4 linked regions of the Anolis sagrei genome follow. The protein of the gene in region 3 purifies or fractionates together with the protein of the main gene of each other region. This does not show direct contact. Links are inferred from orthologs where the notes say so. Each region holds a gene or a part of one and is shown on either strand. Other genes may lie near its edges.

Region 1 (7,399 bases), on a different chromosome or scaffold from region 3:
GGGAAATAATTTATGCTGGGGAAAGTGGAAGGCAAAAGTGGAAGGCAAAAGGAAGAGGGGCCGACCAAGGGCAAGATGGATGGATGGCATCCTTGAAGTGACTGGACTGACCTTGAGGGAGCTGGGGGTGGTAACGGCCGACAGGGAGCTCTGGCGTGGGCTGGTCCATGAGGTCACGAAGAGTCGGAGACGACTGAACGAGTGAACAACAACAACAAGTTTATAATTGTTACTGTATATATATATATTTAAAGAAATGTAAGCACCTTACAGCCCACAAGGGCTCCTTGGACTGTTATCAAGCCATGGTAACCCCCTCCCCACCCCAATGCTTTATAGTTCACCAAGGACCAATATATGATTTTTCCTTCTTTATTAAAAAAGGTCGTTTCCAGAGGTCCAGAATAGCACAAGTTCAGGACTTCAGAAGATTGAGAACAGATCCAGCAGCAGCCGTACTCCTATTAAATATATCATATCTAACCCTTTAATAAATTGTATTTATTTTATTATTGTTGTGTAACTTGTATCTTTTAGCCATATACTGTATCTCTTTCCTGTATAAAATGTATAAATTACCTTGTAGAAATGTATCAAAATGCAGCCCGGAGACAGACACCCTCTGAGATAATCCCCTGAGAATAGGAAGGTTGGGCAAATCCCTCTGGCTATTTCCCAAGCCAGATAATCATCAGGCTCATTATGTACAGAAAGGTGATTTCCCCTGCCAGCAACATAAGCCAGATGTTGGTGTAATTCACCTGAGGTTGAGAGCCTGGTGCTCCGTCATGGGAACAGGAGCTTAAAGTGTGAACTTTCATTAACTCCATTGTTGACAGCCAAGCCCTTGCTTGCCTAGGACTGGCACCTTTGTCCTCCGAGTCTCACACCTTTATTTCTGGAGCTCCATATCTTCGTTTAACATGGAACTGAACAATTGAGCTACTCAAAAATTCATTAACATATAATTGGTATTATCTTCTCCAAGATCGCTCCCTCTGCAGCTGATTGGTTCTTCACTCTGACCAATCTCCGGCTGCCATCCTCCCCGACAAGCAAATCCCTGCCTGGAAGCTGTGATGTCAGCAGAGCTTTCGATCAATCCCAGCAGGGAAAAGAGCCATCCTCTTTTCTGGCCAATTAGAGGAGGTGGCGGGAGGTTTGAATGGCTGTCAGAATTGTATAAGATGTCTTACATTCCCCGCATGTTTATGCTTGTACATTTTAAAGCAAATTACTTGTACCTGCATCCCTTCTGGCTGAATTGTAATAAATCTCTGTGGCTTATCTTCAACCTGATGAGTTGTTTTCTCTGTCCTGGCTTTTTTGGTTTAGCATACCCTCATCGGGCACAAATCCTCCTATCTGTGGTCCTGGCTAAATCACTTCAAGACAATGAACAAATGAAAACAATGAACAAAACAAGATGATTTACATGCAATGTATTCAGGATATATTCATAGTGTACTTTTCAATTTGATGGGTGGAGTTTTTATGTCTTAATTTATAACTTTTAATATAGAAACAGATCAACAAGGCCATGTCTACTAGAAGTATGGCACAAGATTGTTGTACTGCTTGCAGCATTGAGTCTCGTGAACTAGTTTTTCTGATCAGCTATGTCAGTGGGCAGCTTGGTCTGAATAACCTCAGTCCTTTGTTATGGGAAACAACCATCCACTTCCATGGAGAAGGCCTAAAGCAACATACAGGTTCAACATCCATTATCTGAAAATCTGAAATACAATACTCCAAAATTAAAAAATTGTTCACATGGATGTGAGAAACTGACATCTTTGCTTTCTAATAGTTCAATGTGCATACACTTTTGTTTGATTCACAAAATTATTAGATATTATGTACCAAGAGGCTATGTGTACAGTGTATATATAATCAATTTTATATTTTGATTGGTTCCCACCTCCAAGACATATCATGATGTGTGTGTGTGCGTGCGCGTGTGTGTTCCATTATAAATATGAATCCAAAATACTTTTGGTCATAAGGATTTTGGATAAGGGATACCCAATTTGTATTGGCTGCTCCAGAAATATGCAGCATCACATGGGATGTGCTGTTTATAGGATCCAGCTATGCTGACATTTTTTATTATTTGCTAACTTGTCAACTATATCTAGTCACTGAATTTTAACACCAGATGAATAATAATAATAATAATAATAATAATAATAATGAATTTTATTTATATCCCACCCCTCCCCACAAGGACTCGGGGCGGCTCACAACGGAATCAAGTCACAATACATACATAAGCAGAAACTAAAAAGACAAGACACAATATATAACCAATACTCATAAACATAATGAGAAGACAGGAAAGCTTGGAGAAGATGATGCTGGGGGAAAAGGAAGGAAAAAGGAAGAGGGGCCAACCAAGGACAAGATGGATGGATGGTATCCTTGAAGTGACTGGTTTGACCTTGAAGGAGCTGGGGGTGATGATGGGCTGTCAGGGAGCTCTGGTGTGGGCTGGTCCATGAGGTCATAAAGAGTCAGAAGCGACTGAATGAATAAACAACAACCTCATAAATGAAAATTTTTAAAACAATATCACAAGAAATACACAGTTAAAAAATTGTATTGGGTTTAAAAATGTATTGCACTGCGGAGGCAAAAACTAGTTAAAACCAATAGGTATTGACAAGCCTGAAGACGAGAAGGCTGAAAGGAGACCATGTGTAAGTATGTGAGGGGAAGTCTTAGGGAGGAGGGAGCAAGCTTGTTTTCCGCTGCCCTGGAGACTAGGACGCAGAACAATGGTTTCAAATGACAGGAAAGGCAATTCCACCTGAACATGAGGAAGAACTTTCTGACTGTGAGAGCTATTCAGCATGGTTTGGTAACTGCACAGTGGCAGACACGAAGGCACTCTAAAGGATCACCACTTCTGCACAGAGAATCATTAATTGCTCTTTCCCCTGTTTGGAAGACCTTTATAAGTCCTGTTGCTTTAAGAAAGTTCAGAACATTCTTGGGGATCCATTTCACCTGTCATTTTTTTTTTAATTATTGCCATCTTGCAGATGGTACAGGGTGACAAAGACAAGGAGAAGCAGACTGAGAGATAGCTTTTTTCCTAGAGCTGTGGCTATGTTGAACTCAATAGTTTCACACTGATGTGGCATTGGGGGCAGTGTGGTGGTGGTTGGGGTGTGGAGGGATTGGTGTATTGTTTTGTGGTGTATGATGGGGAAGGCTTCAAACTACAGGGAAAGATATTCCACCTAAACATTAGGAAGAACTTCCAGAGAGCTGTTCAGCAGTGGAACTCTCTGCCCCAGAGTGTGTTGGAGGCTTTTATGCAGAGGCTGGATGGCCATCTGTCTAGGTTGATTTGAATGTGATTTTCCTGCTTCTTGACAGAAAGGGGTTGAACTGGATGGCCCACGAGCATTTTTTGGCTCTAAGCTTGGTAAAAGTTGTTCATTTGTTCAGTCATTTCCGACTCTTCGTGACTTCATGGACCAGCCCACGCCAGAGCTCCCTGTCGGTCGTCACCACTCCCAGTTCCTTCAAGGTCAATCCAGTCACTTCAAGGATTGCATCCATCCATCTTGCCCTTGGTCGGCCCCTCTTCCTTTTTCCTTCCATTTTCCCCAGCATAATTGTCTTCTCTAAGCTTTCCTTTCTTCCCATGATGTGGTCAAAGTACTTCATCTTGGCCTCTACTATCCTTCCCTGCAATGAGAAATCGGGCTTTATTTCCTGAAGTATGGACTGGTTGGATCTTCTCGCTGTCCAAGGCACTCTCAGAACTTTCCTCCAACACCACAGCTCAAAAGCATCGATCTTCCTTTGCTCAGCATTCCTTGTGACCCAGCTCTCATATCCATAGTTGACTATGGGGAATACCATTGCTTTAACTATGCGGATCTTCGTTGCCAGTGTGATGTCTCTACTCCTCACTATTTTATCAAGATTAGTCATTGCTCTCCTCCCAAGAAGTAAGTGTCTCCTGATTTTCTGTCTGCAGTCTGCGTCTGCAGTCATCTTTGCACCTAGAAATACAAAGTCTGTCACGGCCTCCACGTTTTCTCCTTCTATTTCCCAGTTGTCAATCATTCTTGTTACCATAATCTTGGTTTTTTGATGCAACCCAGCTTTTGCCCTTTCTTCTTTCACCTTGATTAGAAGATAAAAGTACAACGCCCTAATTCTTGTGCTGAGCCACCCTCAAAAGGCCCAATGCTAAATGATCTCCTCGCGCGGTACCTTCCTCCCTCAGTGCCAGGGTGACACCGGAGATCTTTCTACGCCGCACCAAGTCAACTTCTGTAGGCGGGGCTTGAACTGAGTGACAGCGGTCTCGTCCAATGGCCAGGGAGAATCCTCTGCCAGCAGCCAATGATTCGGAGGGGGCGGGGATACGGAACTCGAGCGCCGGGAGCCTTGGTAACGCGCGGCACATTTGCTTGTGAGCAGCGCGTGGGGCGGAGGCGAAGAGAGAGGCGTCGAGGATGAAGATCGAGGAGGTGAAGAGCACCTCGAAGACGCAGCGCATCGCCGCCCACAGCCATGTCAAGGGCCTGGGCCTGGACGAGGGCGGCGCGGCCAAGGCAGCGGCGGCGGGGCTGGTCGGGCAGGAGAACGCCAGGGAGGTGAGAAGGCCTCAGGCCAAGAGGGAGGCCCCTTTGAAGGGACTGAACAGGCCTGGGCCAACTTGGGCCCTCCAGGAGTTTTGGACTTCAATTCCCACCATTCCTCACAGCCTCAGGCCCTTTCCTTTTCCCCCTCAGCCGCTTAAGCTGAGGAATGGTGGGAATTGAAGTCCAAAACTCCTGGAGGGCCCAAGTTGGCCCAGGCCTGGTCCAGACCCACAAATTCAAGACTCCTCATAACCTGAGTGAAGGAAGATGCTTTTGAACTGTAGTGTTGGAGAAAAATTATTGGACTGGAAGAAGATCGAATCAGTCCATACTCCAGGAAATAATGCCTGACTGCTTACTGAAAGGAAGAATATTACAGGCAAAATTGAAGTACTTTGGCTACGTAATGAGAGGACAGGAAAGCTTGGAGAAGATAATGATGCTGGGGAAAAAGGAAAAGAGGTCAACCATGGGCAAGATGGATGGATGGCATCCATCTGGGCCAGAGTGAAGAGATAGGGGGCCAGGGGACAGTTCCACCTTGTCTCCTGTGCTATTCTAATAATATAACATAATGTAATATAATATATTGTATATACGTATAATATTTATAATGTTATAATGTAATGCAATCTAGTACTATTTTTTTTTGTCGTGTCAGGAGCGACTTGAGAAACTGCAAGTTGCTTCTGGTGTGAGAGAATTGGCCGTCTGCAAGGAAGTTGCCCAGGGAATGCCCAGATGAATTGATGTTTTTATCATCCTTGTGGGAGGCTTCTCTCATGCCCCCGCATGAGGAGCTGGAGGTGATAGAGGGAGCTCATCCGCCTCTCCCCGGATTCAAACCTATGACCTATCGATCTTCAGTCCTGCCAGCACAGGGGCTTAACCCACTGCGCCACCGGGGGCTCCTTATAATACTAATAATAATATGATATTATAATTATATATTTATATTACATGTAATATTACTATTACAATATAGTGGTATAGTACAATATAGTAATATTTAATACTGATATTGTACTTTGCTAATAATATAATATATCGTATGTATATATATACACCTTGTAAGCCGCTCTGAGTCCTCTTCAGGGTGAGAAGGGTGGCATATAAATGTCGTAAATAAATAAATCCTTGAAGTAACTGGTTTGACCTTGAAGGACTTGGGGGTTGCCACAGCCGACAGGAAGCTCTGGTGTGGGCTGGTCCATGAGCTCATGAAGAGTTGGAAATGACTGAACGAATAAACAACAACAACAAAATCAGCCACTGATTGAGGTTCCAGATTTTTACCTGCCACTTTTGGATTCTCACTTGCCGAAGTGTTCCTACGCCCATGATGGCGAACCTATGACACGTGTGTCAGCACAGACACGCATAGCCATTTTCGATGATATGCGGCAGCATACAGAGAAGACATTTAATCCTCGGCTCCTACACCAGCATTTTTCTATGATGCCGAGATATATGGCATTATAGAAAAAGCAGGTAACTTAAATAATTAGTTTTTGGTTTATTAAATACAGTTATATATTACAATAATATATTTTTGTTATTAAACTATAAATATCATGAAATTATGGGTTATTCTCGAAGTGACACCCCACTCGAGTTATGCTCGGTTTTTTGGCGAGTATTGACACACCAAACTCGAAAGGTTGCCCATCACTGTCCTACGCATATCTCTGTAGGTCTTAGGAGGCTATTTCTTTATTTAAGATATTGGCATGCTGGCTGGTATCTGTACAGAGGATGGGCCGAAGATGTCAATGCCTTGGTCCTTTCATTACTGGTTGCTACTTCCTGAAGGTTATCAGGTGGTACAATACTGGCTAAACAGTACAATGTTTCCAGTAGTAAAGGGCGTAGACATCTTGTGATAATGTGGGTGGTAATACATCCAGGCATTCCCTGGGCAACGTCTTTACAGATGGCTGATTCTCTCACACCAGAAGTGATTTGCAGTATACAATAAATCAAGTAACTTGTGTAGTTACATACTCATATCCCATTCTAGGCACATTTTCATATATGTATGCTCCATATAACAAGTCTAGCTTCTTATAGAAGTTTTAACTTATTTCACTGTTGAATATCCCTGTGGGCAGAAAAATTGGGCTATTCCAACTCGATAGCCCCCTACGAGGATCTTCCTCCAGGGGCAAACCAAGAATGGGCAACTTGGAAGTCCCTGAAGAGACTCAGAAGTGGTGTTGAGAGATCAAAAGACAATCTGGCAAAATGGCAGTACCTAGAACAATCCTCTACCTTTTGCTGTTGTGGAGCAGAACAAACAACTCCGCATCTGTATGCTTGCCCACAATGCCCTGCCACATGCACAGAGGAAGAACTGTTTAAAGCTACAGACAATACAGTTGCTGTTGCCTGTTTTTGGTCTAAATTTTTAGCTGCTTGTGTTCCCTTTATTTTATCAGTTTTATACTCATTTATGCAATGCTTTTGACACAAAATAAATAAACTTATTTCACCATTGTGGCTCAGTTGTATACATTATATTAGTTAAGCATTGCTATAACCACCTAGCCAGAGAGGAGTTATGCCAGTTAACCAGCATTGCAGAGTGTTGCAAATAGCCTTAGAAGCCGGGATAAATTGTCTATTTCTATAGACAGTTTTTCAACTGGAGAGGTATACGTTTTTATTACTTTCGCTGTTATTTGCTTATATTGAGTAAGGAGTTGTGCATTATTGTATATTTGGGAAATAATAAAAGCTGGTTTATATAATAATAATTATCAAATTTATAATGGAATTACTAATCATGATCA
Region 2 (7,338 bases), on a different chromosome or scaffold from region 3:
ATAAAACAAGCCATCATCAGCAACTATCAATGACATATTTCACATCTCATGGTGTCATTCCCTCCTGTCAATTGCAATACTGAAGAAACAACACAAAGCATTTTGTGAGAGAAGGTGCCTGTTGTGTAGTTTGATAGGCCAGTGTTGTTAGGCATATGTATGTCTTTCCTATTTGTGTCTTTCCTCCCCTTCTCCCTATTAATTGCAATACTGAAGAAACAACACAAAACATTTTGTGAGAGAAGGTGCCTATTGTGTAGTTTGATTGGCCATTGTTGTTAGGCATGTGTATGTCTTTCCTATTTGTGTCTTTCCTCCCCTTCTCCCTATTAATTGCAATACTGAAGAAACAACACAAAACATTTTGTGAGAGAAAGTGCCTGTTGTGTAGATTGATGGGCCACTGTTGTTAGGCATGTGTATGTCTTTCCTTCCCTTCTCCCTGTTAATTGCAATACTGAAGAAACAACACAAAACATTTTGTGAGAGAAAGTGCCTGTTGTGTAGATTGATGGGCCATTGTTGTTAGGCATGTGTATTTGATAAAGCACCATCAAAGCACCCCTGACAGATGGCGATCCAGCAATACTACTACTACTACTACTACTACTAATAATAATAATAATAATAATAATAGTTGGAAGGGACCACATGGGCCATCTAGTCCAGCCCTCGGCCATGCAGGATAAGCACAATCAAAGCACTCCTGGCAGATGGCCATCCAGCAATAATAATAATAATTTTATTATAATAATGGAATAATAGAATAATTTATAATAATAATTGGTGTCTTTCCTCCCCTTCTCCCTGTTAATTGCAATACTGAAGAAACAACACAAAACATTTGGTGAGAGAAGGTGCCTGTTGTGTTGTTTGAAAGGCCATTGTTGTTAGGCATAATAATAATAATAATAATAATAGTTGGAAGATACCACATGGGCCATCTAGTCCAACCCCCTGCCATGCAGGATAAGCACAATCAAAGCACTCCTGGTAGATGGCCATCCAGCAATAATAATAATAATTTTATTATAATAATGGAATAATAGAATAATTTATAATAATAATTGGTGTCTTTCCTCCCCTTCTCCCTGTTAATTGCAATACTGAAGAAACAACACAAAACATTTTGTGAGAGATGGTGCCTGTTGTGTGGTTTGAAAGGCTCTTGTTGTTAGGCATGTTGTTAGGCATAATAATAATAATAATAATTCCTATTTGTTGTGTAGTTTGTTGTTCATAATAATAATAATAATAATAATAATTGGTGTCTTTCCTCCCCTTCTCCCTGTTAATTGCAATACCGAAGAAACAACACAAAACATTTTGTGAGAGAAGGTGCCTGTTGTATAGTCTGATAGGCCATTGTTGTTAGGCATGTGTATTTGATAAAGCACTATCAAAGCACCCCTGACAGATGGCCATCCAGCAATACTACTACTACTACTAATAATAATAATAACAATAATAATAGAATAATTCATAATAATAATAACAATAATAATTGGTGTCTTTCCTCCCCTTCTCCCTGTTAATTGCAATATTGAAGAAACAACACAAAACATTTTGTGAGAGAAGGTGCCTGTTGTGTAGTTGGATAGGCCATTGCTGTTAGGCATGTGTATGTCTTTCCTATTTATTGTGTAGTTTGATAGGCCACTGTTGTTAGGCATGTGTATGTCTTTCCTATTTGTTGTGTAGACTGATAGGCCATTGTTGTTTGGCATGTGTGTGTCTTTCCTATTGGTGTCTTTCCTCCCCTTTTCCCTGTTAATTGCAATACCGAAGAAACAACACAAAACATTTTGTGAGAGAAGATGCGTGTTGTATAGTTTGATAGGCCATTGCTGTTGTGTAGACTGATAGACTATTGCTGTTAGGCATGCATATGTCTTTCCTATTTGTTGTGTAGACTGATAGGCCATTGTTGTTAGGTATGTGTATGTCTTTCCTCCCCTTCTCCCTGTTAATTGCAATACCGAAGGAACAACACAAAACATTTGGTGAGAGAAGATGCCTGTTGTGTAGTGTGGTAGGCCAGTGCTGTTAGGCATGTGTATCCCCTTCTCCCTGTTAATTGCAATACTGAAGGCACAACACAAAACATTTGGTGAGAGAAGATGAAGGCACAACACAAAACATTTGGTGAGAGAAGGTGCCTGTTGTGTAGACTGATATGCCATTGTTGTTAGGCATGTGTATTTGATAAAGCAGCATCAAAGCACCCCTGACAGATGGCCATCCAGCAATACTACTACTATTACTAATAATAATAATAATAACAATAATAATAATAATAATTGGTGTCTTTCCTCCCCTTCTCCCTGTTAATTGCAATACTGAAGGCACAACACAAAACATTTGGTGAGAGAAGGTGCCTGTTGTGTAGTTTGGTAGGCCACTCTTGTTTGTGTCTTTTTTATGTCTTTCCTCCCCTTTCTCCCTGTTAATTGCAATACTGAAGGCACAACACAAGTAGACAAACAAAAAAAGCCCCACCAATGGAAGGCCCTCTGACTTACCTTCTCCCCCTGGAGTCACACCATGAGTGGGCTTTGTCTGGAGGTGGGCTGGAGGAGGAGATCCCAAACAAGAGCTTGGACAGAAAAGAAGGGATTGGGAGGGAGGGAGGGAGGAAGGGTCTTGAGTCAGGATGTGTGGGGAAGGAAGGAAAGAAAGAGGGAAGGAAAAGGAGGGAAGAGGAGCCTGGTTCCCTAATGCTTTCAGGCCTTCAATGTGGGGAGGGAGGGAGGAAAGAGGGAAGGCCTCTCTTGTTCTGGGGAGGAGGAAGGCCTTCAACGTGAGGGGGACAATGAGGAAGAGCAGGGGGAAGCAGGCTGAGGGGAACCGGCTAGGCCCAAAGGGAAGCCTTCCTCTCCCTCTCTCTCTCTCTGTGTCTCCTCCTCTCCCTTCCTTCCTTCCTTCCTTTCTTCCCTCCTCTCTGTTCCCCTCACACCGCCACCCCTTCAGACAGGGACAGGGCTGCTGCTGCTACCGCCACACGCCAGTATCGCGCCTCCTGATTGGCTCCCGCACCCGGCCTGGAGGCGTGCGCGTGCGGCGGCGGGGCGCTGATAGTAAATATGGGCGGGGCGCCCGACCCAAGCACCAATCCGCGCCGTCGAAACGAAACGAGAGAGTGATAGGTGAAGCGGCGGGCTTAAAATGAGACGCGGCGCGGGATTGGGCGAAAGGCGGGGAAAAGGGGGGCGGGGCAGGAGGAGGGCCGTCCTCGCGCCGGCGACGGTTGGGGGGGGGAGGGGGGGAGGGGGGGAGGGAGGGAGGGGGGAGGAGGAGGGGAGGGGCGGGGCTCTTTTTTTCACCTCATGGTGAGACCACGTGATACCATCTATTCCAACCCCCTGCCATGCAGGAAGAGCACCATCAAAGCACTCCTGGCAGATGGCCATCCAGTAATAATAATAATAATAATAATAATAGATAATAATAATAATAGTTGGAAGAGACTCCATGGGCCATCTAGTCCAACCCCCTGCCATGCAGGAAAAGCACCATCAAAGCACCCCTGACAGATGGCCATCCAGGCATAATAAGAATAATAAGAGTTGGAAGAGACCACATGGGCCATCTAGTGCAACCCCCTGCCATGCAGGAAAAGCACCATCAAATCACTCCTGGCAGATGGCCACCCAGCAATAATAATAATGATAATAAAATCATAGAATAATTGATGATGATGATGATGATGATAATAATAATAATAATAATAATAGGAAGTGGCCACAAGGGCCATCTAGTCCAACCCCCTGCCATGCAGTAAAAGCACAATCAAAGTACTCCTGGCAGATGGCCATCCAGCAATAATAATAATAATAATAATAATAATAATAATGTGGAAAGAGACCCCATGGGCCATCTAGTCCAACCCCCTGCCATGCAGGAAAAGCACCATCAAATCACTCCTGGCAGATGGCCACCCAGCAATAATAATAATAATAAAATCATAGAATAATTTATTATAATAATAATAATAATAATAATAATTGGAAGAGGCCACAAGGGCCATCTAGTCCAACCCCCTGCCATGCAGTAAAAGCACAATCAAAGTACTCCTGGCAGATGGCCATCCAGCAATAATAATAATAATAATAATAATAATAATAATAATAATGTGGAAAGAGACCCCATGGGCCATCTAGTCAAACCCCCTGCCATGCAGGAAAAGCACAATCAAAGCACCCCCGACCGATGGCCATCCAGCCATAATAAGAATCAGAGAATCAGAGAATAATAGAGTGGGAAGAGACCCCATGGGCCATCTAGTCCAACCCCCTGCCATGCAGGAAAAGCACCATCAAAGCACCCCCGACAGAAGGCCACCCAACCATAATAAGAATAATAGAATCAGAAAATAATCGAATGAGAAGAGACCACATGGACCATCTAGTCCAACCCCCTGCCATCCTCTTCCAAGAGAAGTTTGCTTGGTTCTGATTCTTTTCCATCATTGCTGGTAAATCGTTTTGGGGTACGTCTGAATAGTTTCGGGGTATATCTGAAGCTCCACGGCCCACATAAATAATAAGTAGCCAAATAGATCTGCCTGACGTTATGATATTATAATTATATATTTTATATTGCATGTAATATTACTAATAATATTACAATATAATGGTATAGTAAAATATAGCAATATATAATACTGATATTATACTATGCTAATAATATAATATATTGTATATATACTGTCCTTCTCTTCCTTTTTGGAAATCCTCCTAGAAGAAGCCTTCCTCCGTTGTGATTGGCTGGCTTCTCAGCCAAGGGGCAAGGGAGAGCATGCGAGGCTGGAGGGAGGCTTGGCCAGTTCAGAATGCTCTTTGATTGTAGGTGAACTATAAATCCCTCAACTACAACTCCCAAATGTCAAGATCGATTTCCCCCAAATTCCATCAGTGTTCACATTTGGCCATATTGAGTATCTGTGCCAAGTTTGGTCCAGATCCATCACTGTACTCTCTGGATGTAGGTGAACTACAACTCTCAAACTCCAAGGCTAACAACGCCCACCAAACCCTTCCAGTATTTCCTGTTGGTCGTGGAAGTTCTGTGTGCCAAGACTGGTTCAATTCCTTCATTGGTGGAGTTCAAAATGTTCTTTGATTGCAGGTGAACTATAAATCCCAGCAACGACAACTCCCAACTGTCAGTGTCTATTTTCCCCAAACTCCACCAGTGTTCACATTTGGGCTTATTGAGTATTCATGCCAAGTTTGGTCCAGATCCACCATTGTTTGAGTCCATGGTGCTCTCTGGATGTAGGTGAACTACAACTCCAAAATTCAAGGTCAGTGCCCACCAAATCCTTCCCAGTATTCAAATTTGGGCATGGAGTTCTGTGTGCCAATTTTGGTTCAATTGTAGGAAGTTTGGCCCAATTCTATCGTTTTCGGAGTTCAGAATGCTCTTTGATTGTAGCTGAACTATAAATTCCGGCAACTAAAACTCCCAAATGTCTAGGTCGATTTCCCCCAAATTCCACCAGTGTTCACATTTGGGCATATTGAGTATCCGTACCAAGTTTGGTCCAGATCCATCACTGTACTCTCTGGATGTAGGTGAACTACAACTCAAAAATTCAAGGTCAATGCCCACCAAACCCTTCCAGTATTTCCTGTTGGGCATGGGGGTTCTGTGTGGGAAGTTTGGCCTAATTCTATTGTTGGTGTTCAGAATTCTCTTTGGTTGTAGGCGAACTATAAATCCCAGCAACTACAACTCCCAAATGTCTAGGTCGATTTCCCCCAAATTCCACCAGTGTTCACATTTGGGCATATTGAGTATCCGTACCAAGTTTGGTCCAGATCCATCACCGTACTCTCTGGATGTAGGTGAACTACAACTCCCAAACTCAAGGTCAATGCCCACCAAACCCTTGCAGTATTTCCTGTTGGTTGTGGGAGTTCTGTGTGCCAAGTTTGGCTCCATTCCATCGTTGTCGGAGTTCGGAATGCTCTTTGATTGTAGGTGAACTATAAATTCCAGCAACTACAACTCCCAAATGACAAAATAAATTCCTGAACAGTTCAGGCCCTGCCTATCTTTGTGACCACATTCTAGCCACAATGGTCCGCAATGAATGGTCCGGCCACCACTGCCCTTTTCATCCGTGCCCTTCTTCCTTAGTGACCATTTGCACTTTTTCATTCCCTTGTTTTGTTTACAATTTGGCCGGGCCTTACGCCAGTTGTCACCATTCTGGGGTGTTATTCTGAGTTTTGAATCGTTTTGTGTGCTATTGCTTTTACTTTTTTGTATTGTACTGTGTAGGACCCGTGGTGGTGCAGCGGGTTAAACTGCCGAGCTGCTGAACTTGCTGATCAAAAAGTTGGCGGTTCAAATCCAGGGATGGATGGATATGGATAGATAGAATGGATGGATGGATGGATGGAAAGATGGGTGGATACATGGATGGATAGAAGGATGGATGGATAGAAGGGTGGGTGGGTGGATGAGTAGATGGATGGGTAGATAGAGGGATGGATAGATGGATGGATGGATGGATGGATAGAGGAAGGGATGGGTAGATGGATGGATTGATTGATAGATGAATGGATGGATATATGGATGGATGGATATATGGAGAGAGGGATGGATGGATGGAATAGATGGATTGATAGAGGAAGGGATGGGTAGGTGAATGGATAGATGGATGGATGGATGGAGAGAGGGGTGGGTGGGTGGATGGATGAGTAGAGGGATGGGTAGTTAGATGGACGGATAGATGGGTGGGTGGATGGATGATTGGGTAGATGGATGGACAGATGGATGGGTAGATGGATGGATAGATGTGATAGATGGATAGATAGATAAATACATGGATGGATAGATAGAGGGTAGATGGATTGAGGGATAGATGGATGGATGGAGGGATAGATGGATGGATAGAAGGATGGATGGATTGATAGATGGATGGATGAGTAGATAGATGGATGGATAGAAGGGTGGGTGGGTGGATGAGTAGATAGAGGGATGGATAGATGGAGGAATAGATGGAATAGATGGATGGATAGATAGAGGAAGGGATGGGTAGATGGATGGATTGATTGATAGATGAATGGATGGATAGATGGAGAGAGGGATGGATGGATGGAATAGATGGATGGATAGATAGATAGAGGAAGGGATGGGTAGGTGGATGGATGGAGAGAGGGGTGGGTGGGTGGATGGATGAGTAGATGGATGGGTAGTTAGATGGACGGATAGATGGGTGGGTGGATGGATGGATGGGTAGATGGATGGACAGATGGATGGGTAGAGGGATGGATAGATAGATAAATACATGGATGGATTGATAGAGGGATGGGTGGATGGATAGAT
Region 3 (7,964 bases):
GTAGGTTTTTTCGGGCTATATGGCCATGTTCTAGAGGCATTCTCTCCTGACGTTTCGCCTGCATCTATGGCAAGCATCCTCAGAGGTAGTGAGGTCTGTTGGAACTAGGAAAAAGGGTTTATATATCTGTGGAATGACCAGGGTGGGACAAAGGACTCTTGCCTGCTGGAGCTAGGTGTGAATGTTTCAACTGACCACTTTGATTAGCATCTGATGGCCTAGCAGTGCCTGGAGCAAACTTTTGTTGAGAGGTGATTAGATGTCCTTGTTTGTTTCCTCTCTGTTGTTGTGCTGTTATAATTTTAGAGTTTTTAAATACTGGTAGCCAGATTTTGTTCATTTTCATGTTTGCCACAGATGTAGGCAAAACGTCAGGAGAGAATGCCTCTAGACCATGGCCATATAGCCCGAAAAAACCTACAACAACGCAATTATTATTATTATTATAGAGTAGCACATGGTGAAAACAGAAGAGCATGCTTGCTCCATCAATACATAACATTTAGACCCTGTTGGTTCTCTTGGACATCCCAGCGGCTTTTGATACCATCGATCATGGTATCCTTCTGGGACGACTCTCCGGGATGGGCCTTAGAGGTACGGCTTTGTCCTGGAGGGTCGATCCCAGGTGGTGAAGCTGGGTGACGCCTGCTCGGACCCCTGGCCTTTGACCTGTGGGGTCCCACAAGGTTCCATTCTGTCCCCCATGCTTTTCAACATCCTGATGAAACTGCTGGGAGACGTCATCCGGAGTTTTGGAGCTGGGTGCCATCTCTACGCAGATGACGCTCAACTCTACTACTCTTTTCCACCTAACTCCAAGGAAGCCCCTCAAGTGCTAGACGAGTGCCTGACCGCTGTGGCTGTCTGGATGAGGAGGAACAAGCTGAAGATCAATCCCGACAAGACAGAGGTCCTCCTGGTCGATCGTAAACCAGTCCGGGATATAGGGTGGCAACCTGTGCTGGACGGGGTTGCACTCCCCCTGAAGTCACAGGTCCGCAGCTTGGGGGTCCTCCTGGAGTCTTCACTTACGTTTGAGGCTCAGGCGTCGGTGGTGGCCGGGAGGGCCTTTGCACAATTAAGACTCGTGCGCCAACTGTGACCGTACCTCGGGAAGGCGGATCTGGCCAAAGTGGTCCATGCTTTAGTCACCTCTAGACTGGATTACTGCAATGCACTCTACGTGGGGCTGCCCTTGAAAACGGCTCGGAAATTCCAGATGGTCAAACGGGCGGCGGCCAAGTTGCTAACTGGGGCTCCTTAGAGGGAGCGGTCATCCCTCCTGTTCAAGGAGCTCCATTGGCTGCCATTCATTTTCCGGTCCCAATTCAAGGTGCAGGTTCTTACCTACAAAGCCCTGAACGGTTTGGGACCCGCCTACTTGCGTGACCGCACCTCTGTATTCGAACCCACACGATCCCTTTGATCATCCGGGGAGGCCCTGCTCTCGATCCCACCAGCATCGCAGGCGCGGTTGGTGGGGACGAGAGAGAGGGCCTTTTTGGTGGTGACTCCTCGACTCTGGAATTCTCTCCCTAAAGACATCAGACAGGCCCCAACCCTGGCAGTCTTCAGGAGGAGCTTGAAGACGTGGTTGTTCCAGTGTGCCTTCCCGGAATAATTGATTCCATAGCACCTTGTCCTCCAAAGCACTTTACATTTTTAAGGTCTGCTCATATGCCCTTCCATAAATGCCACTATCACCTTCTCGTCCATGTCCCAGCATTACTTCCAATTTTAATTTACATTTGGCCTTCCCACTGTTTTTAATTATGTGTTGTCTTATTGATAATGTTGTATATTTTATTTGTCTATGTTTTATTTTAATTGCTTGTACTGTTGTTATTGCTTGTATTGATGTACTGTGGGCTTGGCCTCATGTAAGCTGCACCGAGCCCCTTGGGGAGATGGTAGCGGGGTACAAATAAAGTGTTATTATTATTATTATTACTATTATATTACATTATAATATATATATATTATTAGCATAGCACAATATTAGTGTTCTATATTATTATATTGTACTAGACCACTATATTCATAGAGTTGGAAGAGACCTCCTGGGCCATCCAGTCCAACCCCATTCTGCCAAGAAGCAGGAATATTGCATTCAAATCACCCCTGACAGATGGCCATCCAGCCTCTGTTTAAAAGCTTCCAAAGAAGGAGTCTCCACCACACTCCGGGGCAGAGAGTTCCACTGCTGAACGGCTCTCACAGTCAGGAGGTTCTTCCTCATGTTCAGATGGAATCTCCTCTCTTGTAGTTTGAAGCCATTGTTTCGCGTCCTAGTCTCCAGGGAAGCAGAAAACAAGCTTGCTCCCTCCTCCCTGTGGCTTCCTCTCACATGGCTATCCTATCTCCTCTTAGCCTTCTCCAGGCTAAACATGCCCAGCTCCTTAAGCCACTCTTCATAGGGCTTGTTCTCCAGACCCTTGATAATTTTAGTCACCCTCCTCTCGACACTTTCCAGCTTGTCAATATCTCTCTTGAATTGTGGTGCCCAGAATTGGACACAATATTCCAGGTGTGGTCTAACCAAAGCAGAATAGAGGGGTAGCATTACTTCCCTAGATCTAGACACTAGGCTCCTATTGATACAGGCCAAAATCCCATTGGCTTTTTTCACCGCCACATCACATCTTTGGCTCATGCTTAACTTCCTGTCCACGAGGACTCCAAGATCCTTTTCACACGTACTGCTCTCGAGCCAGGCATTCTCGCCCATTCTGTCTCTTTGCATTTCGTTTTTCCTTCCAAAGTGGAGTATCTAGCATTTGTCACTGTTGAACTTCATTTTGTTAGTTTTGGCCCATCTCTCTAATCTGTCAAGATTGTTTTGAATCCTGCTCCTGTCCTCTGGAGTATTGGCTCTCCCTCCCAATTTGGTGTCGTCTGCAAACTTGATGATCATGCCTTCTAGCCCTTGATCTAAGTCATTAATAAAGATGTTGAACAGGACCGGGCCCAGGACGGAACCCTGCGGCACTCCGCTCGTCACTTCTTTCCAGGATGAAGAGGAACCCTTGGGGAGAATCACCCTCTGGATTTGTCCATTTAACCAGAACCCCCCTCTTGGTTCGTCCATTTAACCAATTCCAGATCCACCTCACCATAGTTTTGCCTCGCCCACATTGGGCTAGTTTCCTTGCCAGAAGGTCATGGGGGACCTTGTCGAAGGCCTTACTGAAATCCAGGTACGCTCCATCCACGGCATTCCCTGCATCTATCCAGCTTGTAACTCTATCAAAAAAAGACATCAGATGAGTCTGGCATGACTTGTTCTTGATCAATCCATGTTGACTATTAGCAATGACCGCATTTGTTTTTAAGTGTTTGCAGACCACTTCCTTAACAATCTTTCCCAGAATCTTGCCTGGTATCGATGTGAGGCTGACCGGACATTGGTCATTGTTTGGGTCCTCCTTTTTTCCCTTCTTGAAGATTGGGACCACATTGGCCCTCCTCCAATCTGCTGGAACTTCTCCCGTTCTCCAAGAACTCTCAAAGATGGTTGCCAATGGTTCCGAAATGACTTCCGTTAGTTCCTTCAGTACTCTTGGGTGTAGTTGATCTGGCCCTGAAAGGGGACTTGAACTCATTTAGAGCGGCCAGGTATTCCTGGACGACTTGTTTCCCAATTTGGGAATCTCTCTAATCCCTCATCCACTCCATCTTACGGAGATTGAAAATGACTTTCTTTTTGTGAGAAGACCGAGGCAAAGAAGGTATTAAGTAGTTCTGCCTTTTCCCTATCCCCTGTCAGCATTGCCCCATCTTCTCCTCAAAGAGGCCCTATCGCCTCCTTGTTTTTCCTTTTTCTACTGACATAAGAAAAGCCAGCAACTACTTAAATCAAGAAATAGTTTTCTTAGATCTACAGAGACACTTGCTGGAATACCTCAGCAAGCAAGAGTCCAAAAGTGGCAGGCTCAAACCCAGAACCTCAACCAATGGCTGATACCAAATGAGAGACTCCCCCCTGGGCACACAGAAAACTGGGCGACTTGGAAGGCTCTGCACAAACTGCGCTCACCACGAGATGCAGAGCCAACCTCAAGAAATGGGGCCACAAAGTGGAATCCACGACATGCGAGTGTGGAGAAGAGCAAACCACTGACCACCTGCTGCAATGCAACCTGAGCCCTACCACATGCACAATGGAGGACCTCCTTACGGCAACACCAGAGGCACTCCAAGTGGCCAGATACTGGCCAAAGGACATTTAATCAACTACCAAGTTTGCAAAATTTGTTTTCTTTTTTCTGTTGGTTTGTTGTGTTCTGTTAGAAATGTAATACAATTGTATGCTTGCTGATGACACGATAAATAAATAAATAAGCACAATATTAGTGTTTGATATTATTATATTGTACTAGACCACTATATTGCTATATTATTAATAATATTAGATGTTCTATATAATATACAATTATTATATATATTTATTGTATTGTATAATAATATTATCCCATTACATATATAATACATTAACAGTATATTATACAATTAGTAATATATATATGTGTGTATCTACACACACACACACACACACACACACACATATATATATATATTTAATACTTCTTCATACAAAATGCCAAAATCATATAGAGATATATTTAAGTCATGGATACAGATCAGTTCGGCCTATTCTTCGAAATTTACTGAAAATCCCCTAAAAATGCTTTCAGAACGTTCATTCCAAGCAGGCCAAAGAATTCGCCCCTGTCCCTTTAAGGCGTTTTGCGCGCGCTCAAGTCTCTTAAGTATTGTTTTGAGATCTTTTTATCCTTCGCGGGCCGCCGTAGCCGAGGGAGGCCCCCTCCTGCGCGTGCGCCAAGGGAGGCTAAGCGAAAAGATGTCGCTCGCGTTGCCTATTAAGATTTGAAGGCTCTTTTTATCCCTCGGGGGCCACCGTAGTCGTAGGGAAGCTATCCTTCTGCGCCTGCGCGGGGCGGATTCTCGCTGCGGCCGGCCTGAGGAGCGGCTGCGTCCTTCCTCACTGCGCCTGCGCGAGAGGCCTTCCTCCCGCCCGGCGGCCAGAAAAAGGAAAACGGGGCCGCCGCTGAGAGAAAAAGGACGGAGGAGGCGAAGGAGAAGGAAGAGGAAGACATCCTCCCTTCCGTCGTCAGGGGCGAATCGAGTAAGGCGGGAAAGGCGCAGGCCCAACGACTAGGCCTCAGTGGCGATGACGTCATGGGGTCCTTTTTGCCCCCCTCCCCCTCCCTTCTCTGCCCCGAAGAGCTTCCAGTTCTATAGATACAGATTTAGGGATGCTTTCATGGGTTTTTGTGTGTCTGGCGAACTGAAAGTCTTCCATTGCTGAGATATGCAAGGATTATGCGTGTGTGGCCAGTGTGTACACGTGTGTGGCCGTGCACACGTGCTTTGAGAGGAGAAGCCTGAGCTAAAGTGGGATCAATGCAGTTTTGCAGCACTTGAACTGCCATGGTTCAGTTCTATGGCATCCTGGGAGTTGTAGCAATATCAGGTCTCTAGAATGCATCTACATTGTGGAATTAATGCAGTTTGGCCCCACTTTAATTGCCATGGCTCAGTTCTATGGCATCTTGGGAGTTGTAGCTTTATAAGGGCTCTAGAATGCATCTACATTGTGGATTTAATGCAGTTTGGTAGCACTTGAACTGCCATGGCTCAGTTCTATGGCATTGAGGGAGTTGTAGTTTTATCAGGTCTCTAGAATGCATCTACATTGTGGAATTAATGCAGTTTGGCCCTACTTGAACTGCCATGGATCAGTACTATGGCATCCTGGGAGTTGTAGCTTTATCAGGTCTCTGGAATGCATCTACTTTGTGGAATTAATGCAGTTTGGCTCCACTTGAAGTGCCATGTCTCAGTACTATGTCATCGAGGGAGTTGTAGCTTTATCAGGTCTCTAGAATGCATCTACATTGTGGATTTAATGCAGTTTGGCACCAGTTTAATTGCAGTAGTGCAGTGCTATGGTATCATGGGAGTTATAGCTTTATAAGGCCTCTGGAGTGCATCCATATTGAGAAATTAATGCAGTTTTGCCCCACTTGAACTGCCATGGTCAGTTCTATGGCATTTTGGGAGTTGTAGCTTTATAAGGGCTCTAAGGTGCATCTACATTGTGGAATTAATGCAGTTTGGCTCCACTTGAAGTGCCAAGGCTTAGTTCTATGGCATCCTGGGAGTTGTAGCTTTATCAGGTCTCTAGAATGCATCTACATTGTGGAATTAATGCAGTTTGGTCCCACTTGAACTGCCATGGCTCAGTTCTATGGCATCCTGGGAGTTGTAGCATTATCAGGTCTCTAGAATGCATCTTCATTGTGGAATTAATGCAGTTTGGCACTACTTGACCTGCCATGGCTCAGTTCTATGTCATCGAGGGAGTTGTAGTTTTATCAGGTCTCTAGAATGCATCTACATTGTGGAATTAATACAGTTTAGCTCCACTTTAATTGCAGTGACACAGTGCTATGGTATCATGGGAGTTACAACTTTATAAGGTCTCTGGAGTGCATCTATATTGAGAAATTAATGCAGTTTGGCACCACTTTAATTGCAGTGATACAGTGCTATGGCATCATGGGAGTTACAGCTTTATAAGGTCTCTAGAGTGCATCTATATTGAGAAATTAATGCAGTTTGGCACACTTTAATTGCAGTGAGGCAGTTGTCCTTTTATAAAGTCTCTAAGGTGCATCTAGATGGTGGAATTAATGCCGTTTGGGTACCACTTGAGCTATCATGGGGCATTGCTATAGCATCGTGGGAGTTGTGGCATTATAAGGTCTCTAGGGTTCATCTACATTGTGGAATCAATGTATAAGTTGTATAAGCTGTATAAGTTTTATAGGGTGTACCTACATTGCAGAATTAATGCGGTTTGGCATCAGTTTAACTGCTGTGGCACAGTGCTATGGGATTCTGGGAGTTGTAGCTTTATAAGGTCTCTAGGGTGCATCTATATTGTGGAATTCATTCAATTTGGCACTGTTTGAATTGCCACCCAAGTCAGTTTTGGAAAAACAATGTTAAAGCATTTACCGTATGAAAACAATTGGTTGGTTTCTTTTTCTGTCCGTTTCTCCAGGAGACTGCTTTTACTTCTAAGCCGTCGTGCTCTTTTGTCCTCGGAAGAGCCTGAAAGCTGGCTGGCTTCTTTCCAGAGCTATGGCCACGGAAGAGAAGAAACCCGATGCAGAGTCGACCAAAACGCAATCCACGCCTTCCTCTTCGACCAACCAAACCAAGGTACGACGGAGGCATCTGCCTCCCAAACTCAAATGCTCAAAAGGTTCGGAGGCTGCTTAGTATGTTGGATTCTTCCTAGCCCTGGAAATCCCAGTGTCATTTAAGGAGTTGGGTGAACATTGCTCAGGGAAGGGTTCATAAGTTGTACAGGCAGTCCCAAAGTTACGTACAAGATAGGCTCGGTAGTTTGCTCTTAAGATGAATTTGTATGCAAGTTGGAACCTGGACACAGCATATTATTTGAGAACACAGAAATGCTGGACCACTCTCACAACCACCATGTCAGACTACACAGAGAAGCCATTGAAATCCACAAGCATGTGGACAATTTCAACAGAAAGGAGGGAACCATGAAAATGAACAAAATCTGGCTACCAGTATTAAAAAACTCTAAAATTACAACAACAAAACAACAGAAAGTAAACAATCAGGCACATCAAATCACCTCTCAACAAAACATGCACTTCCCAGGCACTTCCAAGCCAATAAATGCTAATCAAGGTGGTCAGTTGAAGCATTCACACCTAGCTCCAGCAGACAAAAGTCCTTTGTCCCACCCTGGTCATTCCACAGATATATAAACCCATTTTCCTAGTTCCAACAGACCTCACTACCTCTGAGGATGCTTGCCATAGATGCAGGTGAAACGTCAGGAGAAAATGCCTCTAGAACATGGCCATATAGCCCGCAAAAACCTACAACTACCCAGT
Region 4 (7,994 bases), on a different chromosome or scaffold from region 3:
TTATTTCCTCTCTGTTGTTGTGCTGTTCTAATTTTAGAGTTTTTCCTAGTTCCAACAGACCTCACTACCTCTAAGGATGCTTGCCATAGATGCAGGCGAAACGTCAGGAGAAATGCCTCTAGAACATGGCCATATAGCCTGAAAAAAACTACAACCCAGTGATTCCGGCCATGAAAGCCTTCGACAATACAATAATATTGTAATATGTTAATACTACTATATGAAATATAATTACTACTGATAATATATAATGATATACTGCTTTATTATTGTGTATTTGTATAACTGAAGGTTGCCAGTTCAAAGCCGTGGGTCGACATGAGCTACTGACTGTCAAGCCCAGCTTACTGTTGACCTAAGCAGTTCGAAAACAGACATAGCAAAATTAGGTAACGCTAAGGATCGGAAAATGCTGGGCAACTAAAAGGAAGGAAGAAGTCCTGATGGCTCTTCATCATAGAGAATGGAGTGACAGAGCTGGATTCGAGCACAACTTCTTAGGCACCAAAAAAGCTAAATGTTGAGTCGAAACAACACACCTCCTTCTGTTCTGTCTTTGTATTGTCTATACAAAAGGACATTGAATGTTTATAGTGTATATGTACTGTGATCCGCTCTGAGTCCCCTTGGGGAGATAGGGTGCAATATAAATGAAGTGTTGTTGTTGTTATTATTATTATTATTGAGCTATATTGCGTGAAATTGTGTTATATGAGTCTACACCAGGTATGGACAAACTTGGGCCCTCCAGGTGTTTTGGACTCCAACTCCCACCATTCCCAACAGCCTCAGGACCCTTGTAAATATTAAAACACATTGTATTGTCGAAGGCTTTCATGGCCGGAATCACTGGGTTGTTGTAGGTTTTTTTGGGCTGTATGGCCATGGTCTAGAGGCATTCTCTCCTGACGTTTTGTCTGCATCTATGGCAAGCATCCTCAGATGTAGTGAGGTCTGTTGGAAGTAGGAAAATGGGTTTATATATCTGTGGAATGACCAGGGTGGGACAAAGGACTTTTGTCTGCTTGAGCTAGGTGTGAATGTTTCAACTGACCACCGTGATTAGCATTTGATGGCTTGGCAGTGCCTGGGGGAATCTTTCTTTGAGAGGTGATTTGATGTGCCTGATTGTTTACTCTCTGTTGTTTTGCTGTTGTAATTTTTGAGTTTTTTAATACTGGTCGCCATTAGGTTCTTGTAGGTTTTTTCGGGCTATAGGGCCATGTTCTAGAGGCATTTCTCCTGACGCTTCGCCTGCATCTATGGCAAGCATCCTCAGAGGTAGTGAGGTCTGTTGGAAATAGGAAAATGGGTTTATATATCTGTAGAATGACCAGGGTGGGACAAAGGCCTCTTGTCTGCTGGAGCTAGGTGTGAATGTTTCAGCTGACCACCTTCATTAGCATTTGAAGGCCTGGCAGAGCCTGGGAAAATGTTCTGTTCAGAGGTGTTAAGATGTGCCTGGTTGTTTCCTCTCTGCTGTTTTGCTGTAGTAATTTTAGAGTTTTTTAATACTGGTAGCCAGATTTTGTTCATTTTCATGGTCTCCTCCTTTCTGTTGAAATTGTCCACATGCTTGTGGATTTCAATGGCATGCATGTGGACAATTTCAACAGAAAGGAGGACACCATGAGAGGAAACAACCAGGCACATAACACCTCTCAAAAGAACATTTTCCCAGGCTCAGTCAGGCCTTCAAATGCTAATGAAGGTGGTCAGCTGAAACATTCACACCTAGCTTCAGCAGAGAGCTCTTTCCCCCACCCCAGTCATTCCACAGATATATAAACCCATTTTCCTATTTCCAACAGACCTCACTACCTCTGAGGATGCTTGCCATAGATGCAGGCGAAACGTCAGGAGAGAATGCCTCTAGAACATGGCCCTATAGACCGAAAAAACCTACAAGAACCTAGTGATTCCAGCCATGAAAGCCTTCAACAATACAGAGAGTAAACAATCAGGCATATCAAATCACCTCTCAAAGAAAGATTCCCCCAGGCACTGCCAGGCCATCAAATGCTAATCAAGGTGGTCAGTTGAAACATTCACACCTAGTTCCAGTAGACAAGAGTCCTTTGTCCCATCCTGGTCTTTCCACAGATATATAAACCCTTTTTCCTAGTTCCAACAGACCTCACTACCTCTGAGGATGCTTGCCACAGATGCAGGCGAAACGTCAGGAGAAAATGCCTCTAGAACATGGCCCTATAGCCCGAAAAAACCCACAAGAACACCTCCTCCTGTTCTGTCCTTGTATTGTCTATACAAAAGGGCATTGAATGCTTGCCGTGTATATGTACTGTGATCCGCCCTGAGTCCCCTTGGGGAGATAGGGCGGAATATAAATTAAGTGTTGTTGTTGTTATTGAGCTAAATTGCGTGAAATTGTGTTATATGAGTCTATACCAGGTATGGACAAACTTGGGCCCTCCAGGTGTTTTGGACCCCAACTCCCACCATTCCTAACAGCCTCAGGACCTTTGTAAATATTAAAACACATTCATACATTTGTAAGGGAAAGGCAAGGCGAGAACAAACTACAACTCCCATGATGCCCCGCGCCAGCCGCTCCCTTCATTGAAGAGGCGAGGTTCCCCAACTACTTAGTGGGAATGGGAGTCTGATTAGAGACCCCAGCTTTCGCCTAATGCGCATGCGCGCCCCTTCTCCTGTTACACCCGCTACAACGAGGCTCCAAGCGGCCTCCATTTTTGCCCCGGCTCAGCCCCCGAACTCCTCCGGCCCCGCTGCCAATATGGCCCCGTTCTCACGGGGGAGACTCTTCCGGAGAAGGCAAGACCCTTCCCGGTGATAACGGGCCTGACTCTGAGGCGGATGGCGGCGGATAACCCCCGCTTGCCATGCCCGTCCTCTTCCCCTCAGTCACTCACCATCATCTTGGCGGCCGCCCTGTTGCTAACGGTTTCCCTGCCCACAATGCACCGCGCGCACCCAGAAGCTTCGCCGGCGCTTGAGTGGGCGGAGCCAAGGGGAAGAGGAGGGGCTTGAAGGTGCAAAGGCAGAGAATGCTATATAGAGGTACTAAGGTTAAAGATACTCAGTACCACACAGTTTGGCAGCACACTTCCGAGTTCGCATTGCTATATAGAGCTAGTAAAACGGATGCTCAGTGCCTCGCAGTTTGGCAGCACACTTCCGAGTTCGCAGGGCTTTTATATTATTATTTTTTGCTTTGTTTACAGAAAAAAAATCATTTATTATTATTATTATTATTATTATTATTGAAAAACTGGGAACTCTTGGCTATCTTTCTGCAGAGAAAAAAGAATAATATGATAATTTCAGAATGTTTTTATATTTATTTGTCTGTTTGTTTACAGAAAAAAATCAATTATTATTATTATTATTGAAAAACTGGGAACTCTTGGCTGTCTTTCTGCCGGAAAAAAAAAAGAAGAATATGATAATTTCAGAATGGTATAGCATGCTGTCATGGCAGTTAAAGGCCAGTGGAAGGCCTTGGGAAAACTGCAACTCCCAGGATTTCAAAGCCTTGAGCCAGAGCAATCCAAGTGGTGTCAAGCTGCATTCATTCTGCAAGGCAGGTCCACCCTCCAATTTCATTTATTACATTGATTTACTTAATGAACTAATTAATCGGTGGCTATGGTTTCCAGGTGGAAGACGGTCCCAGTTGGGGTTGGCTTGATGTGCCTTCCTCTTGGCACGTTTCTCTCACCCTCCATTCATGCCTCTTCAAATTCTGCAGTACTGCTGGTCACAGCTGACCTCCATCTGGAGCACTCAAGGGCCAGAGCTTCCCAGTTCTCAGTGTCTATGCCAGAGTGTTTAAGGTTGGTTTTGAGCCCATCTTTCAATCTCTTTTCCTGCCCACCAACATTCCGTTTTCTGTTCTTGAGTTCGGAATAGAGCAACTGCTTTGGGAGACGGTGGTCGGGCATCCAGACAACATGGCCAGTCCAGCAGAGTTGATGGCAGAGGACGATCACTTCAATGCTGGTGGTCTTTGCTTCTTCCAGCACACTGACGTTTGTCCGCTTGTCTTCCCAAGAGATTTGCAGGATTTTCCAGAGGCAGCGCTGATGGAATCATTCCAGGAGTTGCATGTGACGTCTGTAGACAGTCCACGTTTTGCAGGCATAGAGCAGGGTTGGGAGGACAATAGCTTTATAAACAAGCACCTTGGTATCCCTACGGATGTCCCAGTCCTCAAACACTCTCTGCTTCATTTGGAAAAATGCTGCAATTGCAGAGTTCAGGCAGTGTTGAATTTCAGCGTCAATGTTGACTTTGGTGGAGAGGTGGCTGCCAAGGGAGCGGAAATGGTCAACATTTTCTAATGTTACACCATTAAGCTGTATCTCTGGCATTGGAGAGGGATTGGCTGGTGACTGCTGGAACAGCACTTTGGTTTTCTTGATGTTGAATGACAGGCCGAGCTTCTCGTATGCTTCTGCGAAGGTGTTTAGAGTGGCTTGTAGGTCTTCTTCTGAATGCGCACAGACGACGTCATGCAGTGTAGATGTACTGCAATAACTAAAGCAGTACATCAAGCAAGCAATTGATTGATGTACAGTGCATTCTACTGTGTGGATGCACTGGAATAACAAAAGTTCGACTGCATTCATTCTACAGTGCAAATACACTGCAATGACTAAACTCCATTCTTCCTATAGTGTAGATGTACTGCAATAACTAAAGGTAACCTGCATTCATTCTACCGTGTGGATGCACTGCAATAACTGAATCATAGAAGCATAGAATCAAAGAGTTGGAAGAGACCTCATGGGCCATCCAGTCCAACCCCATTCTGCCAAGAAGCAGGAACATTGCATTCAAATCACCCCTGACAGATGGCCATCCAGCCTCTGTTTAAAAGCTTCCAAAGAAGGAGCCTCCACCACACTCCGGGGCAGAGTTCCACTGCTGAACGGCTCTCACAGTCAGGAAGTTCTTCCTCATGTTCCAATGGAATCTCCTCTCTTGTAGTTTGAAGCGTCCTAGTCTCCAAGGAAGCAGAAAACAAGCGTGCTCCCTCCTCCCTGTGGCTTCCTCTCACATATTTATACATGGCTATCATATCCCCTTCTCTTCTTCAGGCTAAACATGCCCAGCTCCTTAAGCCGCTCCTCATAGGGCTTGTTCTCCAGACCTTTTATCATTTTAGTCGCTCTCCTCTGGACACATTCCAGTTTGTCAATATCTCTGAAGTCAAACTGCATTCATTTTACAGTGTAGTCAGGCATGGCCAAACTTTGGCGCTCCAGGTGTTTTGGATTTCAGCTCCCACAATTCTTCACAGCCAATAGAATGTTAGGAATTGTGGGAGCTGAAGTCCAAAACACCTGGAGGGCCAGAGTTTCCCCATGCAGATGTATTGCAATAACTAAACTTAACCTACATTCAGTCTCCAGTGCAGATGCACCCTGAATAGTTCCAGAGTCTTGAATCAAGTGGCAGAAAAAGGGATGTGCAAGCTTTTTGGAAATGCCTTGCCCATTTCCTCTTTCCATCCTATCAGAAGCCACCTGGTAGCCGAAAACCCAGTGATGACGGATGCGAGACCCTGCCCAATGGCATCACCAGGAGATCCCTGTTGTCCAATGAGAGCCAGCCGGGAGAGAAGGCTTTCCCCGCCTCCTGTCACTGAAGATTTGGATGCCAGGCTTGCAACAGAGCCAGGGGCTGGAGGAAGGACCTGAGCCATGGTGGCCCTTTGGCCTGGAGGGCCCCTCTGGGGACACCTCCTCTTTTGCTTTTCCTCCTTGGCGCACGGTAAGGAACCCACGGCTTGCTTGATTTCCCTCCCTTGCAATTGCACCCTGCTTTTAGGCTGAGAACAGAGTTATAAGAGACCTCAAAAGGCCATCCAGTCTGGTCCCTTTCTGCCAGAGAGGAAGGCACCATCCAAACCCTCCTGGCAGATGTCCACCCAGCCCTCCAGAGAAGGAGGCTCCACCAGACTGTAATGCAGCCGCATATTCCACTGCCAAAGAAGGTCTGACCATCAGAAAGTTCTTCCTAATGTTTCAGCGAGATCTCTTTTAAACCCATAACTCCATTGTGCATTAGTTTCTGGAGCAACAGAAAACAAGCCGTTATTTAAGCCTGGCTGTCCTACTGCATTGGGATGAACAAAAGAACAGTCATGTTGGAGCCGACAAAAGGTCTTTCGAACCCAACACTCATTTCCTACAGTTGCCAAATAGCAACTGCTTCCCCTTTGGGTTGCTTTTCGTTTTTCGTGCTGTCTGGTCATCTCCCAGAAGCATTCTCTCCTGGCGTTTTACCCACATCTATGGCAGGCATCCACAGAATCATAGAATCATAGAGTTGGAAGAGAACTTGTGGGCCATTATCCAGTCCAACCCCATTCTGCCAAGAAGCAGGAATATTGCATTCAAAGCACCCCTGACAGATGGCCATCCAGCCTCTGCTTAAAAGCTTTCAAAGAAGGAGCCTCCACCAGACTCCGGGGCAGAGAGTTCCACTGCTGAACAGCTCTCAGTCAGGAAGTTCTTCCTCATGTTCAGATGGAATCTCCTTTCTTGTAGTGTGAAGCCATTCTTCCGTGTCCCAGTCTCCAGGGAAGCAGAAAACAAGCTTCCTCCCTCCCCCCTGTGGTTTCCTCTCACATATTTATACATGACCCTCATCATGTCTCCTCTCAGCCTTCTCTTCTTCAAGCTAAACATGCCCAACTCTTTAAGCCGCTCCTCATAGGGCTTGTTCTCCAGACCCTTGATCATTTGAGTCGCCCTCCTCTGGACACATTCCAATATCTCTCTTCAATTGTGGGTGCACAGAATTGGACACAATATTCCAGGTGTGGTCTAACGAAAGCGGAATAGAGCATGGGGAGCATGCCTTCCCTAGATCTAGACACTAGGCTCCTCTTGATGCAGGCCAAAATCCCATTGGCTTTTTTTTTTTTTGCCACCACATCACATTGTTGGCTCATGTTTAACTTGTTGTCCACGAGGACTCCAAGATCTTTTTCACACGTACTGCTCTCAAGCCAGTCATTGTCCCCCATTCTGTATCTTTGCATTTTGTTTTTTTCTGCCTAAGTGGAGTCTCTTGCATTTGTCCCTGTTGAACTTCATTTTGTTGGTTTTGGCCATTCATCTCTCCAATCTGTCAAGATCGTTTTGAATAGTTTTGAATCCTGCTCCTGTCCTCTGGAGTATTGGCTCTCCCTCCCAATTTGGTCTCGTCTGCAAACTTGATGATCCTGCTTTTTCATCCGTCATCTAAGTCATTTATAAAGATCCTGATCAGGACCGGGCCCAGGACAGAACCCTGCAGATGGCCCTCCACTCGTCACTTCTTTCCAGGATGAAGAGGAAGCCCTGGGGAGAATCAGCCTCTGGGTTCGTCCATTTACCCAATTACAGATCCGCCTCACCGTAGTTTTGCCTAGCCCACATTGGACTAGTTTCCTTGCCAGAAGGTCATGGGGGACCTTGTCAAAGGCCTTCCTGAAATCCAGGTACGCTCCATCCACGGCATTCCCCGCATCTACCCAGCTTGTAACTCTATCGAAAAAAGAGATCAGATGAGTCTGGCATGACTTGTTTTTGAAAAATCCATGTTGACTATTAGCAATGACCGCATTTGTTTCTAGGTGTTTGCAGACCACTTCCTTAACAATCTTTGCCAGAATCTTGCCTGGTATCGATGTGAGGCTGACCGGAAGGTCATTTTTTTCCTTCTTGAAGATTGGGACCACATTGGCCCTCCTCCAATCTGCTAGGATTTCTCCCGAGGTTGTGAGATCTGTTGGAAATTAAGCAAGTGAGGTTTATATATCTGTGAAATGTCCAGAGTGGGAGAAAGGATTCTTGTCTGCTTGAAGTACATGTGAATGTTCCAATTTGTCTCCTTGAATGGCCTGCAGCTTGAAGTCCTGGCTGGTAGCTGCCTGGGGGAATCGTTTGTTGGGAGGTGTTAGCTGGCCCTGATTTATTATTGTCTGGGAAAGTTACCCTTTCAGGACACTTCTGCCT

Evidence for each region.
Region 1: the proteins of WDR5 (region 3) and RUVBL1 purify together in Homo sapiens (affinity purification with mass spectrometry; 3 studies listed by BioGRID and IntAct, with this or other methods). This does not show direct contact. The link is inferred for Anolis sagrei from reciprocal best matches to the Homo sapiens genes WDR5 and RUVBL1.
Region 2: the proteins of WDR5 (region 3) and RERE purify together in Homo sapiens (affinity purification with mass spectrometry; 5 studies listed by BioGRID and IntAct, counting the BioPlex papers as one, with this or other methods). This does not show direct contact. The link is inferred for Anolis sagrei from reciprocal best matches to the Homo sapiens genes WDR5 and RERE.
Region 4: the proteins of WDR5 (region 3) and CCT7 purify together in Homo sapiens (affinity purification with mass spectrometry; 3 studies listed by BioGRID and IntAct, with this or other methods). This does not show direct contact. The link is inferred for Anolis sagrei from reciprocal best matches to the Homo sapiens genes WDR5 and CCT7.

What each region holds. Positions count from the first base shown.
Region 1 is NC_090022.1:55,532,642-55,540,040, reverse strand, and holds the start of RUVBL1 (ruvB-like 1), read left to right. Parts: upstream 1-4,384; 5' UTR 4,385-4,478; coding exon 4,479-4,619; intron 4,620-7,399. UniProt on the Homo sapiens protein: Possesses single-stranded DNA-stimulated ATPase and ATP-dependent DNA helicase (3' to 5') activity; hexamerization is thought to be critical for ATP hydrolysis and adjacent subunits in the ring-like structure contribute to the ATPase activity.
Region 2 is NC_090033.1:2,658,271-2,665,608, reverse strand, and holds the start of RERE (arginine-glutamic acid dipeptide repeats protein), read right to left. Parts: upstream 3,005-7,338; 5' UTR 2,523-3,004; intron 1-2,522. UniProt on the Homo sapiens protein: Plays a role as a transcriptional repressor during development. May play a role in the control of cell survival. Overexpression of RERE recruits BAX to the nucleus particularly to POD and triggers caspase-3 activation, leading to cell death.
Region 3 is NC_090031.1:5,426,415-5,434,378, reverse strand, and holds the start of WDR5 (WD repeat-containing protein 5), read left to right. Parts: upstream 1-4,949; 5' UTR 4,950-5,149; intron 5,150-7,093; 5' UTR 7,094-7,173; coding exon 7,174-7,254; intron 7,255-7,964.
Region 4 is NC_090025.1:5,459,102-5,467,095, reverse strand, and holds the start of CCT7 (T-complex protein 1 subunit eta), read right to left. Parts: upstream 3,005-7,994; 5' UTR 2,901-3,004; coding exon 2,895-2,900; intron 1-2,894. Other genes in the region: PRADC1 (protease-associated domain-containing protein 1), read left to right, coding at 5,691-5,760. UniProt on the Homo sapiens protein: Component of the chaperonin-containing T-complex (TRiC), a molecular chaperone complex that assists the folding of actin, tubulin and other proteins upon ATP hydrolysis.